Linked DNA regions of Struthio camelus. The protein of the gene in region 2 interacts with the protein of the main gene of each other region in a pairwise test. Links are inferred from orthologs where the notes say so. Each region holds a gene or a part of one and is shown on either strand. Other genes may lie near its edges.

Region 1 (3,747 bases), on a different chromosome or scaffold from region 2:
CATAGTATAGTCATACTGCCTCACCTGCAGTCTCATGCCAAAACTACTGTATTATTATGCCTAAAAGATTGTAGAAAATCAGTAGAAGTGTACTGTATATTTTTAAAAATTTGCTAGCCAAATAAAAAAAAAGGTTTCAGAAGGTTTCAGTTTAATTATTTTCAGCAAGCTGGAATGAAATATTTTATTTATTCTTAGGATTTACTATTTTTAATTTTTTAATTTATTTATTAAAATGTACATACTATTTTAAAGCTATATTCTCTGTGTCGAGCTATGTCTGAAGAGACTCTGGAGCTTCTTAAATAATTTATTTATAAAATGGGGAATTCATACTTCACTGTCTTCCAAAGGAAAGTTTCTTGGTCAATACCGAAGCCTGAAAAGCATACAGAAAAATAGTACTTATCTGTGAGGATGAGATCAGAACTTCAGATTTTTAGCACAGTATGTCTTCCACGCAGATAGCATGGTAGATTTTTCACCCGTGTAGAATATTGCATGATTTCTTGGTGTTGGATATCTACTTAACCTGAAATACATAAAACCTGCAAAATCTGTAATGTTTAAAAACTATTATTAAGTCTTTCAACTAGTTATTCATGTTTCCTTCACTTACAGTAATGCCACTTATGCTTAAATTACTTCACCAAACTTGATAAAAACCTCAAAGATCTGCCAAAACTCTAGGTTTAAAAAAAAAACCACACACACACAGTGAGATTACAAAATGTAATTGGCTATTCAAAAGATAAATTTCCAGTATGCCTCATGTGTGCTACTTCAATATTTTCTGTAAATCATTACCTTTTGTTTTTTCTTTGCCAAGAAGTAGCAGAATCACAGGCACAGAAGACTGGTTTTTCAGTCCAAGAAGAAATCAATGACCATCAAACGTTTCTTGTTACTTCATATATACAAATCCTCTTTCTTCCAGCAGACATAGTAGCAAATGGCACAAATGGCTTTTTTTTTTTTTTTCCCCAGACAACCCACGAATTGCATCACTACACTGATCCCCCAAGTAGCTGCCTTGGCTCTGTATTTCTGCAAGCTTTGGTACCAAATTCAGTTTCTAATGCTTGATGCCTCTTTCTCACTTAGGAACTCCTTGGTGATGTGCTTTCTCCCAGATCACCCTGTCAAGACCCGCGTGGCCTGGCCGGCCACTTTTCTCGAGCCGAGCGTTCAGACAGGGGACGTTCCAGAAGGCCTAAGCGCGCTCCATTTCACGTGACACTGTTTGTAACGCTCAGTTTTTGATAACCGTATGCTCTGACTCTTGTGCAGAGCACTTGAATCAGTAACCACTAGCCACCCAGCCACTGGTATCCTTTGACGTTACATCATAGTTATTAGCTGCTATAATTAGTATATTAAAAATACCTACTTGCAAGTCTGCCAACATTGTGATAACTCTATGCCATATTTTCCTAGGACATAGTCAAAGCAGCTCCCTAAGTCAGCATCCCCCAAAGACGCATACAGTACTGCTATTCTTGAGCTGAAAGAACTAGCCCTTCAGTTTGTATGTTGCACCCATAAATGGCCTTATCTAATACACCACTGCCACAATGAAATACTCCATTGGAGAGAATCTGAATCCTTCATGAAGACATCCTCCTGAGGTCTTGCATGAACACAGATCCTATTAAATCTCTGCAGAAGAGAGACTGTTGCAAAAGGGTCCGTTTGCAGCACTCCTTTCTTTCCGGCAGCACTTTACTATTGTGGCAAGTGTCTGTGCAGCGCTGTCTTGCAGCATGCTAGATCCTGAGGGCAGTGTGGAGCACAAGGCTTCCTCTTCCTTCCCCAAAGTTTTCCTCATCCCTCTAGCCATGCTCCTTGCAATAGCAGCGCTCCTGCTCTTAGCATTTTCCGCTACTCAGCAGAAAGAGACTGATTTTTACACTTTCAAAGTTGTAAACATCAGGGGCAAGCTAGTCTCTCTGGAGAAATACAGGGGCTCGGTAAGTCTGCATGGAGATGGGCAGCTCTCACACTATCACTAATCAGCCAGTCCTTGCATGTCTGCAGAAAGCAATGGGGGTGGAGAGATTGTACATTAACATGATGCGCGCATGCAGATGGATTTGTTTTTATGACTTCTTTAACTGATCTGGAGTGTTGCCTGCATGCTTCCTTTAATACCATTCCCTAGGTCTTTGCACTCTGTAAATAAAACGTTTGCAGCCTAACCTCTCTGTGTGGCGGCATCTCTTCCTCGTGCGGGCTGCTCCCTGTATACGTGGCAAGCAGGGAATGCCTGCCTTCCATTCAGCAGGATGAATTGCACTTGACTGTGGCTGCTAAAACATGAAGCACAGGAAGTTTGTACCTTTGTACAAATTATTTTTGGAACTTATTTCCGCTTTTAGTAAACATTTAGTAAATTCTTTTTACCTAAATCCCATTTCCCTTTGAAGTTTTGCATCAAAAGAGATGGAATTTAGCCAGTGATTAATGGAGTTAAGAGTTTTCACCATAATTAGTAAAAAAGTGAGAGACTTGCTATGTACTATTTTAATATCAGTGTACAGTGAAATTGTGGAAACACCATGCTATTCCCCTTGTAGTCAATTTTAGCATGACAGAGAACAGTATGAAGGTCAGATAGACACTGCATATGCTTTTTTACCTTTTAAATGTCATTTACATATTAAATTAAGGAGTTGTAGACACAACTTTCCTTCACAGTTTGAGAAAAATTGTCTTGAATGTAACTTGATTTTTTTTTAATTTGGTTTATGGAAGAATGAAGAGAGGTTAGCACAGAAAGGGTGGCATAGTATCTGTAGCTCTTGTAGCCATATTCACAAATTGCAGAAGCTAAAATCAAAGCATAAAAGCCACCACCTCCATCCTTAGTGCTCAAGTGACACATCTTATGTGCTACAGCCAGGCCAGTCCAACAGCTTCCCAAAAAGGAAGGCTCCACTCTTCTCTTTCACCCTTAGTCTCAGCTCCGCGTTTCCACTTTCTTTGTCACTAATCCAAAGTGGTGGGTGACCAAAATATTTGCGGGAAGAAACAGAAGGCCTACAGTAGGGGATGTATTTCTGAGCTCAGAAGGGAGGGCTACTGGTGCATTTGGACCAAATGAGAGGCCTCGATCTTATCTGGTCAAAGTCCTCCTCTGCTTTTGTTCACAATGCAGTCAGAGAACAGAGCAGGTGGGGAACAGATCCAATGCACACACAGATATCTGTTTTTGAGAAACTATGGAACCTGTTTAATATTAAGCAATATTTACCTTTTTTAAGAGTTCCTTCCAAAGGCTCTGTCAATAAATCCTGTCACTGGGGCATGTTTTGGGTGCAGGTCGCCTGCAAATCTTTCTAAATAAGCAAATACCACCTGTATCTTCTCTAACGCAGGGTGAGAATCAGCATGGCAAGGACTAAAGGGGGAACTCTGAGGTTTCCCTTGTGGAATTCCTTATAGCCCTCCTGGCAGAGACAGGGGGTGTTTGTCCCCTCCAGAAGAAGCCTTAGGGCCTGCCCCAGTATCTCATGACTCCTCCAGGTCAGGGGTGCGTGTCTGAATCTCGCCTAGTGCCATGCTCCAGGGGTGCCTGGTTTCATAGCAGAGGACTCTAGCACTAGAGGAAAGGTATTGCCATCAGTGAATATTACTCCTTGATCTTTGCTAGACCATAAGGAGAAAATAAGCATCTAATTTTTTCTGCATCTGCCTATCCCACTGCAAGAGCATTCATTCCACAACTTTTTTTGCTTTTCCAAGACC
Region 2 (3,747 bases):
CAGCCCCGTGGGCTGGCCGTGCTGTGTCCCCCGCCCCAGCGGAGGCGTCCCCCGTGCCCGCGCCGGCGGGCCCTTACCGGGTCCTTGAACTGCTCGCTGACGGAGCGGATGACGGGCAGCGTCTCCTCCAGCTTGGAGGCCAGCTGGTCGGCGTTCATGTCGCCCAGCCCCAGCATGTTGCACATCTGCGGGAGAGGCCACCCCGAGGTCCCCGCGGTGCCACCCGCGAGGTCCCCCCTGCGCGCGGCAGGTCTAAGCCCGCTCGTGCCGCCTGCAAGCGCCCTCACGCCGCCCACGAGGTCCCTCGGGTGCCGCGTGTGCGAATCCCCTCCCGCCACGCGGGGGGGGGGGGGTCTCCCCGAGGCCACCCCCAAGGGTCCTCGCGGTGCCACCCGCAAGGCCCCCCTGGTGCCACCACCGAGGCCCCTCGGGTGCCGCGCGTGAGAGCCCCCTCGTGCCACGCGTGGGGTCTCCCTGGTGCCACACACCGACGTCCCCCGCGTGCCACCCGAGGGCCCTCCCCGGCGCCACCCGTGCGAGCCCCGCTCCCCGGCGCCGCCCCGCAGCCGCCCCTCCTCATCCTCACTTGGGAGATGAAGGGGCTGATCTGGTTCTTGATCTGCATGAGGCGGCCCAGGCCCCGCTCCACGATGGTGGGGAAGTTGAGGAGCCGCAGCGTGTGGCCGGTGGGCGCCGTGTCGAACACCACCACCGAGAAGTTCATGCCCTTCACCAACCTGCGAGGACGCCGGGCCTCAGCGGGGACGGCGGGTCCCCGGCGCCCCGTTCCCCATGGCAGGGGGCCGTCCCCGGGCCCTATCGGCCCTGCACCGCCCCGGCCCCCCGCTCACCTCATCACCTCGGCGTAGCTCATGGCCTCGTCGATGCCGGGGAAGGCGCTCATGGCCTCCTGCATCATCTTCTTGCCCATGCTCAGCATGTTGTCCTCCTCAAAGAACTCGTCGGGCAGCTCGGCCACCCCCAGGCTGGGGTCGATCTCCTGCCGGGGGCCGGGGTGGGGGAGAAAGGTTGGGTGAGGGGCTGGAGGGTGGTGGGGGGGGCACGGGGGGGAAGGCTGGACGCCGGGGCCCGCCGGGGGACTCACCATGGCGAAGAGGTTGTCGTAGCCCTTGACTTTGGTGGGGACCTTGGAGAACTTCTGGTCGAAGGCGTCGGAGATGTTGTGCGCGGGGTCGGTGGAGATGATGAGGACGCTTTCGCGCACCTTGGAGAGCTGCACGGCCAGGCTGCAGCTGGGGGGGGGGGCAGGTGGGGAGGAGGGGGGCCGCGGTGTCACCGGGGTGGGCTGTTGCCACCGGGACCCCCTCCAGGCACCCGGTCCTGCCCCATAGGGTGGCCCTATGATGCCACTGTCCCCCCTCAGCAATAGGGGGGCTCCTTCTCCCCCCCAAGGGTGACCAGCCTGCCCCCCACACCCCAAAGTGGTCCAGCCCAGCCCCCCCCTTCACTCCCAATGGTGCAGCCTGGTCTGGTGTTGTCCCCCCCCAAGTGGTGGTCCAGTCCATTCCCCCCCAAAGTGGTCTGGTCCACGTCCCCCCACTCTGAGGTGGTCTGATCCAGTCCCCCCCCCCGAGGTGGTCCAGTCTGGATCCCCCCTAACCCCCTCCAAAGTGGTCTAGTCCAAATCCCCCCCCCAGAAGTGGCCTGATCCAGTCCCCCCCCCCCGAGGTGGTCCAGTCCGGGTCCCCCTACCCCCCCCGAAGTGGTCTTGGCCAGGTCCCCCTCTTCCAATCCCCAGTGGTGCGGCCTGGTCCAGTCCCCCCCACTCGAGCTGGTCCGGTCCGGTTCCCCCCCACCACCCCGAGCTGGTCCGGTCCGGTCCCCCCTCCCAAATGGTCCGGTCCGGGTCCCCCCTCCCAAATGGTCCGGTCCGGTTCCCCCCCCATCCCGAGCTGGTCTGGTCCGGTCCCCCCTCCCAAATGGTCCGGTCCGGTCCCCCCTCCCAAATGGTCCGGTCCGGTTCCCCCCCACCACCCCGAGCTGGTCCGGTCCGGTTCCCCCCTCCCAAATGGTCCGGTCCGGTTCCCCCCCCCACCACCCGAGTTGGTCCAGCCCGGCCCGGTGTTCCCCCCCCCCGGCCCCACCTGCAGGTGGTCTTGCCCACGCCGCCCTTCCCCCCCACGAAGATCCACTTGAGGCTCCGCTGCTCGATGATGTTGGCCAACGTCGGCTCCAGCGGCTCCACGTCGGGGGCGTCCTCGAACTCGTCCGCTTCGGGCCCCCACCCGGACCCCGCCGCCGCCATCTTCGAACCGCACCGCCTGCCCCGGCGCCGGGCCGCACCATTCGCCTCCGCCGCAGGGGGGGGGGAGAAAGGAAAAGAAGGGAGTTATGGCACCGGCCGCCGCCGCGGGGCCGCCGGCAGGAGGGAGCCGCTCCGGCGGGAAGCCACGATCACGGCCGCCGCCGCCCGGCCGCACCGGAGAGGCCTTTCCCCGTTATGGCGGCCCCGCTCTTCACTCCTCCCCCGCGGCCCGCACGGCGGTGGTACAGCCCGGCCCCGCCCCCCTCCGCTGCTGATTGGCCAGCTCGCACGCCCGCCGGGCGGGATTGGCTGGAGCAAGTCCTACCTCTTCCCCGGGGCGGCTCCTCGAGCCCGCCCACCCCCTCTTGCTCCGCCTCCGCCGGCAGCCGATTGGCCGCAGCTGCCGCGCCTCCTCGCTGATTGGCCCCGAGCCTGACAGTCCGGCGCGAGCAGCCGCGGGGAGGGGGGGGGGCTCTCACGGCCCGCCCGTTGCCTGGCAACAGCGCCCTCGCGCCTGCCCCGTCAGCTCGGCGCGGCTCCCGTCGTGCCTAGCGGCGGGCGTTTCCCGCCGTCCTCCGCGTCACCCTCCCCCCGCGGCCCCTATAGGAGGGCGGCGGCGGAGCTTCCCGTCGTGCCCCGCGCGCGCGTCATCGCCGGGCGCGGGGCGTTTCCCGTGGTGCCCCGCGGCGCGGCGTTCGCGGCGGACAAGATGGCCGACCACGGCGAGGACGGGGAGGCCCCGTCGCCGCCGCCCGGCCCCGGCGGCGGCGTGAACGTCTTCGCCAACGACGGGAGCTTCCTGGAGCTCTTCAAGCGCAAGATGGAGGAGGAGCAGCAGCGCGAACGCGAGGCGGCGGCGGCGGCGGCCGCCGAGGCCCCCGGAGGTGCCGGTACCGGGCCCGGTCCGCACCGCTCGGCCGACGGCCAGAAGAGGAGCGGCGGCGGCGGCGCGCTCAGCTTCGTAAGGACCCCCGGGGGGGGCCGCCGCCGCCCCGCGCCCCGCTCCCCCCGCTGCGGGGGCCGCTCCCCGCTCTGCCCGGGCCCCTCGCACCCGCCGTCCCACCGGGCCCGGTTCCTCCCCGGTTCTCCGGGGTGGTTTCAGCCTGCAGAAGGGCAGCTCCCCACGCTCTTCCCCCACCCCCCCTTTCCTCACCGGCCCCGGTGATGCCGTTGCTTCTCCCCCCTGCTCACGCCCGGGGTCGCTCTGGGTGGGGGGCGCTTTTTCCCCTTAACGGCAGCCACCCTCTGGGCTCAGGTAGGCGGAAGAGCTTCACCGGACGATTCCGCTCCCCCGACGTGAGTATCGGCCCCGGTTTCACCGGCAGAGCGTGCCGGGAGCCGGGCTCAGGTCCGCTGAGGCCGTTGCTCGCCGGCCCTTTGGGGAGCCGCGTTGTTGTGTGCGGTCCCGGGGCGCCCCGGAGCCTGCGGCCAGCGGTCGGGGTGCCAGGAGACCCCCGTGAGCCGAACCGAGCGGGTTCGCG
Region 3 (3,747 bases), on a different chromosome or scaffold from region 2:
TCAGTTCAAAACCAACCGTCAGATTTAGTTTTGAGGAAAGCATTCTCCTGCAACAGTTATTTTCAAAAGCTCTAATTTTCAACATTGCTTATTTTTATCTGAAAAACTATAGTTATGGCCAGGACTCAAAAGGGAGCTTTTCAGTTGTTGCTGTCGTTCAAGAAGGAATTTGCTGTTATGCCACACTACTTTCTAATTAAGTTTCATCCCAGGTCACTGAGGAACAAGAAGCATTCAGAATTTCTGTTAAAAACAAACTAAGAAAAAATCCACTGATTTTGTCACAGGCTGCTTGAAATATTTTTCAGACTTGACAAGCTTTTTCTGAGAATTTATCTGTTAATGCAACATCCTTTAAACTGTTTCACCCCATGGGTTGAAAAAGTGCTATCTGAAAGAGTGAACGAGCTGCTTCCCATAAACTGCGCACGGGTGAGCTACGAACACCTGAACAAAGCGGAAGGCAGCCAGAGAAACAGAACAAGACGTTTTAAGCAGCGTCTCAAGTGCTTAAGCATTAGACCCCCATTTAGCCCGCTTTGTTTTTTTCGCAAGCCGCCATTCCCGGCGCCGCAAAGCCGCCCCGCGCAGGGGGAGCCCCGCGGCCACCGCCTCGCAGGCTCCCACATACCACGTACTCGAGCGGCGAGAAAGCCTCCCCCGCGGCACCCGCGCTCCTCCACTTCCCCCGCAGAGCCGCAGGCCGCGCCGAGGCCGAGGCCGCGGCGCCGCGCCTGTAACCGCCGCCCGCGCGCCCACACGCACGAGGACTAACGGCCACGAGCCGTCGCCGCCGCGCTCTGCCTGCGCCGCCCGCCCGCCGGTTTGAGCCCCCCCGCAGAGCGAGAGGGGGGAACACCCCCACCCCGGCCGACAAGGGCAGCCGGGCACCGCAGCTCGTCCCCTCCCCCCGGCGGAGCGCGCGCCGGCGCGGCCCCGCGGCCGAACGCTCGCGAGACGCCCCCGCTCGCTTCCATGTTGCCACGTTCAAAGCCGCCGGCGAGGGGAGCGTGGCGGACACGCGCCCCCGCCGCCGAGCACCGCCCCCCACCCGCCCCCGCCGCCAATGGGAGGTGAGCAGTGCCCCGCCTCCTTCCCCAGGAGCGCTCAGCGATTGGGTGGCGTCGGCGGGGGGGGCGGGAGGACGGGGAGCGGCGGGCGCTGGTTGCGGCCGCAGGACTCTACCGCACGCAGCGCCCAGGTAGCGGCGGCGGCGGTTACTGACTCATCCTCGCCGTCGCCCCGCTCGCCCCACCCCCACGCCCGCCGCGCGCGCGCGCGCACAACCGCTGCCTCTCGCTACCTGACAGGAGGTGCCATGGCCTCGCGCAAGGGCTCCAAAGGTGCCGGCGGCAACCCCAGCCCCGGCTCCAAGAGAGGTGAGCTGCGCGGAGCGGACGGGAAACGGGGCCGTCGCCTCGGAGGGGAGCTTCCCGGGCCGAGCCGGCACGGAGGGAAGTGGGGAGAGGGTGTAACCGCCGCGAAGTAGGGCAGCGCTGCGGGGAAGGGCGGCGGCGGGCCGAGGAGCCGCCGCCGTAGGGCCGCCGCCGTGGGGGGGGGGAGGGGGCCGATGCCGCCCCTGCCCGCCGGGGCGGGGGCGAGCCCGCTGGGGGAGGCGAGGAGGAGCACGGCCGCGCTGCGCCCTGCTCTCCGCCTTCGCTTTGCCCCCGCCAAGCGGTGGAGCCTCCCCAGCCCCTGTCCAACGCCCGCGCTCGCCGGCCCTGCCCGCGGGATGCTGCGGGCCGTGGCTGCTCGGCCGGGCCTCCGAGGGGCGGCCGCCCGGCAGGAGGAGGAGGAGGAGGAGGGGTGGGGGGCCGGGCCGGGCCGGGGGGCTTCGCCGGCCCCGCGCGCGTTCGGCCTTCCCTATGCGCTGCGTGTCAGCTCCTGGAGGCAGCGCGAAGCGGGAACAGATGGTTTAGATCTGCTGCTCGGGTTTCGGTCGTCCCCCTTCTCAGGAATTTAAGCGGAGGAGAAACTTGCTTGGTCTGGCTGAGGAGGTGGAGGCGCACCACTCGAAAGCTTCCCCGCCCCGAACGGCTGGGCTGAGTGATGGGCAGGGTCCTCAGCCCCGAGAGGGTCTTTGACATCTGTGGGTTTCTCAGGTTTGCAGGGAAGTGCACGTTGATCTTTTCTTCCGGAGGCCTGGAGCAGAACCTGGATGCCCAGTATCTCCAATGCTAGTGAAGCAGTTGTTATTCATGTGTTTAAACTCAGATGCTGGGACATCTTCTGATCTAAGTTTGTTGGATCTATCATAGATGTAGTATCTAACTCGAAGGTTCACTTAAGTGCAGAAGCAGGTAGGAGTAATCTTGAAAAAATGCAGAGAGAAGGGGTTTTTTGATTATTAGTCCCCTTTCCCACCCCCTAGAATAAATAACAGCTTGGCAAATCTGACTATTAATAAGGTAGTATGTATTGACAATTTAGGTATGGAATACTTTGTATGCACTAGGTTTTTTTTTAAGAATAGAATATACTTTAATGAGAGAAAAGTATATACTTATGGAAGTCACTGTGTAATCATGCATACTACAGTAATTAAAGGAAATTTTAACAAAGATTAGAATGCTTGCTAATTATAACTTATTTGGTTTTGAGCTTGACTTGCACAGAGCCCTAGTGATGACAAATTGTAATGACACTGAAGTAGTATCTGTTGTTACCCTTTCAGCAATAGTATGGATGACAGTGCTAATGAAAGGATGAACATATAGGACCAATTCACCAATCACATGGTGAATTGAGAGAAAAAGATTTCAAATGTCAGTTAAGCGTGAAAGAGTTCAGAGATGATGTTACAGTGGTTCAGAGAATTTTTTTTAATTTTATTTTTAATAAGGTCCTCCTTTTTGGCATATGCTGTAGAGTCTATATTGTACTTTTTCCTGGACTAGCGGTACTATTTGATATTCATGAGTCAAATGATCGTCACCTACTATTAAGCAGCATGGCAAATACAGATTTCCAATAAGAATGTATTAAGAACATGCATCCCTTGTACAATTTTGAATACTGCAAATGATTCAGACATTATCACTTTAAAGGTTAGTCAGCATTTGAAAAATAAATTTATCAGCAATCTAAGTCTCTGACTGAGTATAAAAGTATTATATAGATTTTTATATTCAGCATGAGCAAAATTTTTTCTGTTTGTAATAAAGTACCTAATTTGTGTAGTTGCACAGAGGACGCATTATTGCTATATATAAAGGTGTAAAGCAGTGTGAGTCTAAGTGTTGGTCACAATCCCAGAATGTAACCTAGTAAATTAAGACCAATATTTTGTTAGTTTCAGCTACTCCTAGTTAAAATCCCTTGGACAGCTGTAGAAATTATGGCATGAAGATGATGCTGTTTTCATAGTTGCTTAAGAATACCATGCAGCTGCAGAAAGAGGTAATGGATGATGATTCCTGTGTGAATGAAGAACAGCTAGAGGAGCAGACGGTCTTCACAGCAGCCAATAAGTATTCCACATTTGAGAGCTGTGAACATGAAATGAGGAAATAATTTTGAAATGTCCAGTAATTAAGACTGTGAAGCATGCAAACCTCAAGTCTGAGGCAGTTCCTGATAGTACTGTAGTAATCACTTTTACAGCAGTTCATTGGAGAGGACTTGGTTTCTTGCCAAGGCATTGCTCATGACTGTGAAACCAGTGAAGATGACAGTGCATCTAAAAATCTCAGCACCTAAGGAGGTGCCTGAATCTGAATTTAGTAATCTGCTTTTAGGTATCCACAT

Evidence for each region.
Region 1: the proteins of GET3 (region 2) and GPX7 interact in binary tests that used the Homo sapiens proteins (3 or more experiments, as listed by UniProt). The two-hybrid records come from large-scale screens. The link is inferred for Struthio camelus from reciprocal best matches to the Homo sapiens genes GET3 and GPX7.
Region 3: the proteins of GET3 (region 2) and ASPH interact in binary tests that used the Homo sapiens proteins (3 or more experiments, as listed by UniProt). The two-hybrid records come from large-scale screens. The link is inferred for Struthio camelus from reciprocal best matches to the Homo sapiens genes GET3 and ASPH.

The regions. Positions count from the first base shown.
Region 1 is NC_090949.1:31,612,400-31,616,146, forward strand, and holds the start of GPX7 (glutathione peroxidase 7), read left to right. Parts: upstream 1-987; 5' UTR 988-1,763; coding exon 1,764-1,970; intron 1,971-3,747. UniProt on the Homo sapiens protein: It protects esophageal epithelia from hydrogen peroxide-induced oxidative stress. It suppresses acidic bile acid-induced reactive oxygen species (ROS) and protects against oxidative DNA damage and double-strand breaks.
Region 2 is NC_090972.1:4,315,205-4,318,951, forward strand, and holds the start of GET3 (ATPase GET3), read right to left. Parts: upstream 2,534-3,747; 5' UTR 2,267-2,533; coding exon 2,106-2,266; intron 1,254-2,105; coding exon 1,106-1,253; intron 1,001-1,105; coding exon 852-1,000; intron 738-851; coding exon 587-737; intron 186-586; coding exon 78-185; intron 1-77. Other genes in the region: TRIR (telomerase RNA component interacting RNase), read left to right, coding at 2,976-3,227.
Region 3 is NC_090943.1:134,405,063-134,408,809, forward strand, and holds the start of ASPH (aspartyl/asparaginyl beta-hydroxylase), read left to right. Parts: upstream 1-1,168; 5' UTR 1,169-1,318; coding exon 1,319-1,379; intron 1,380-3,747.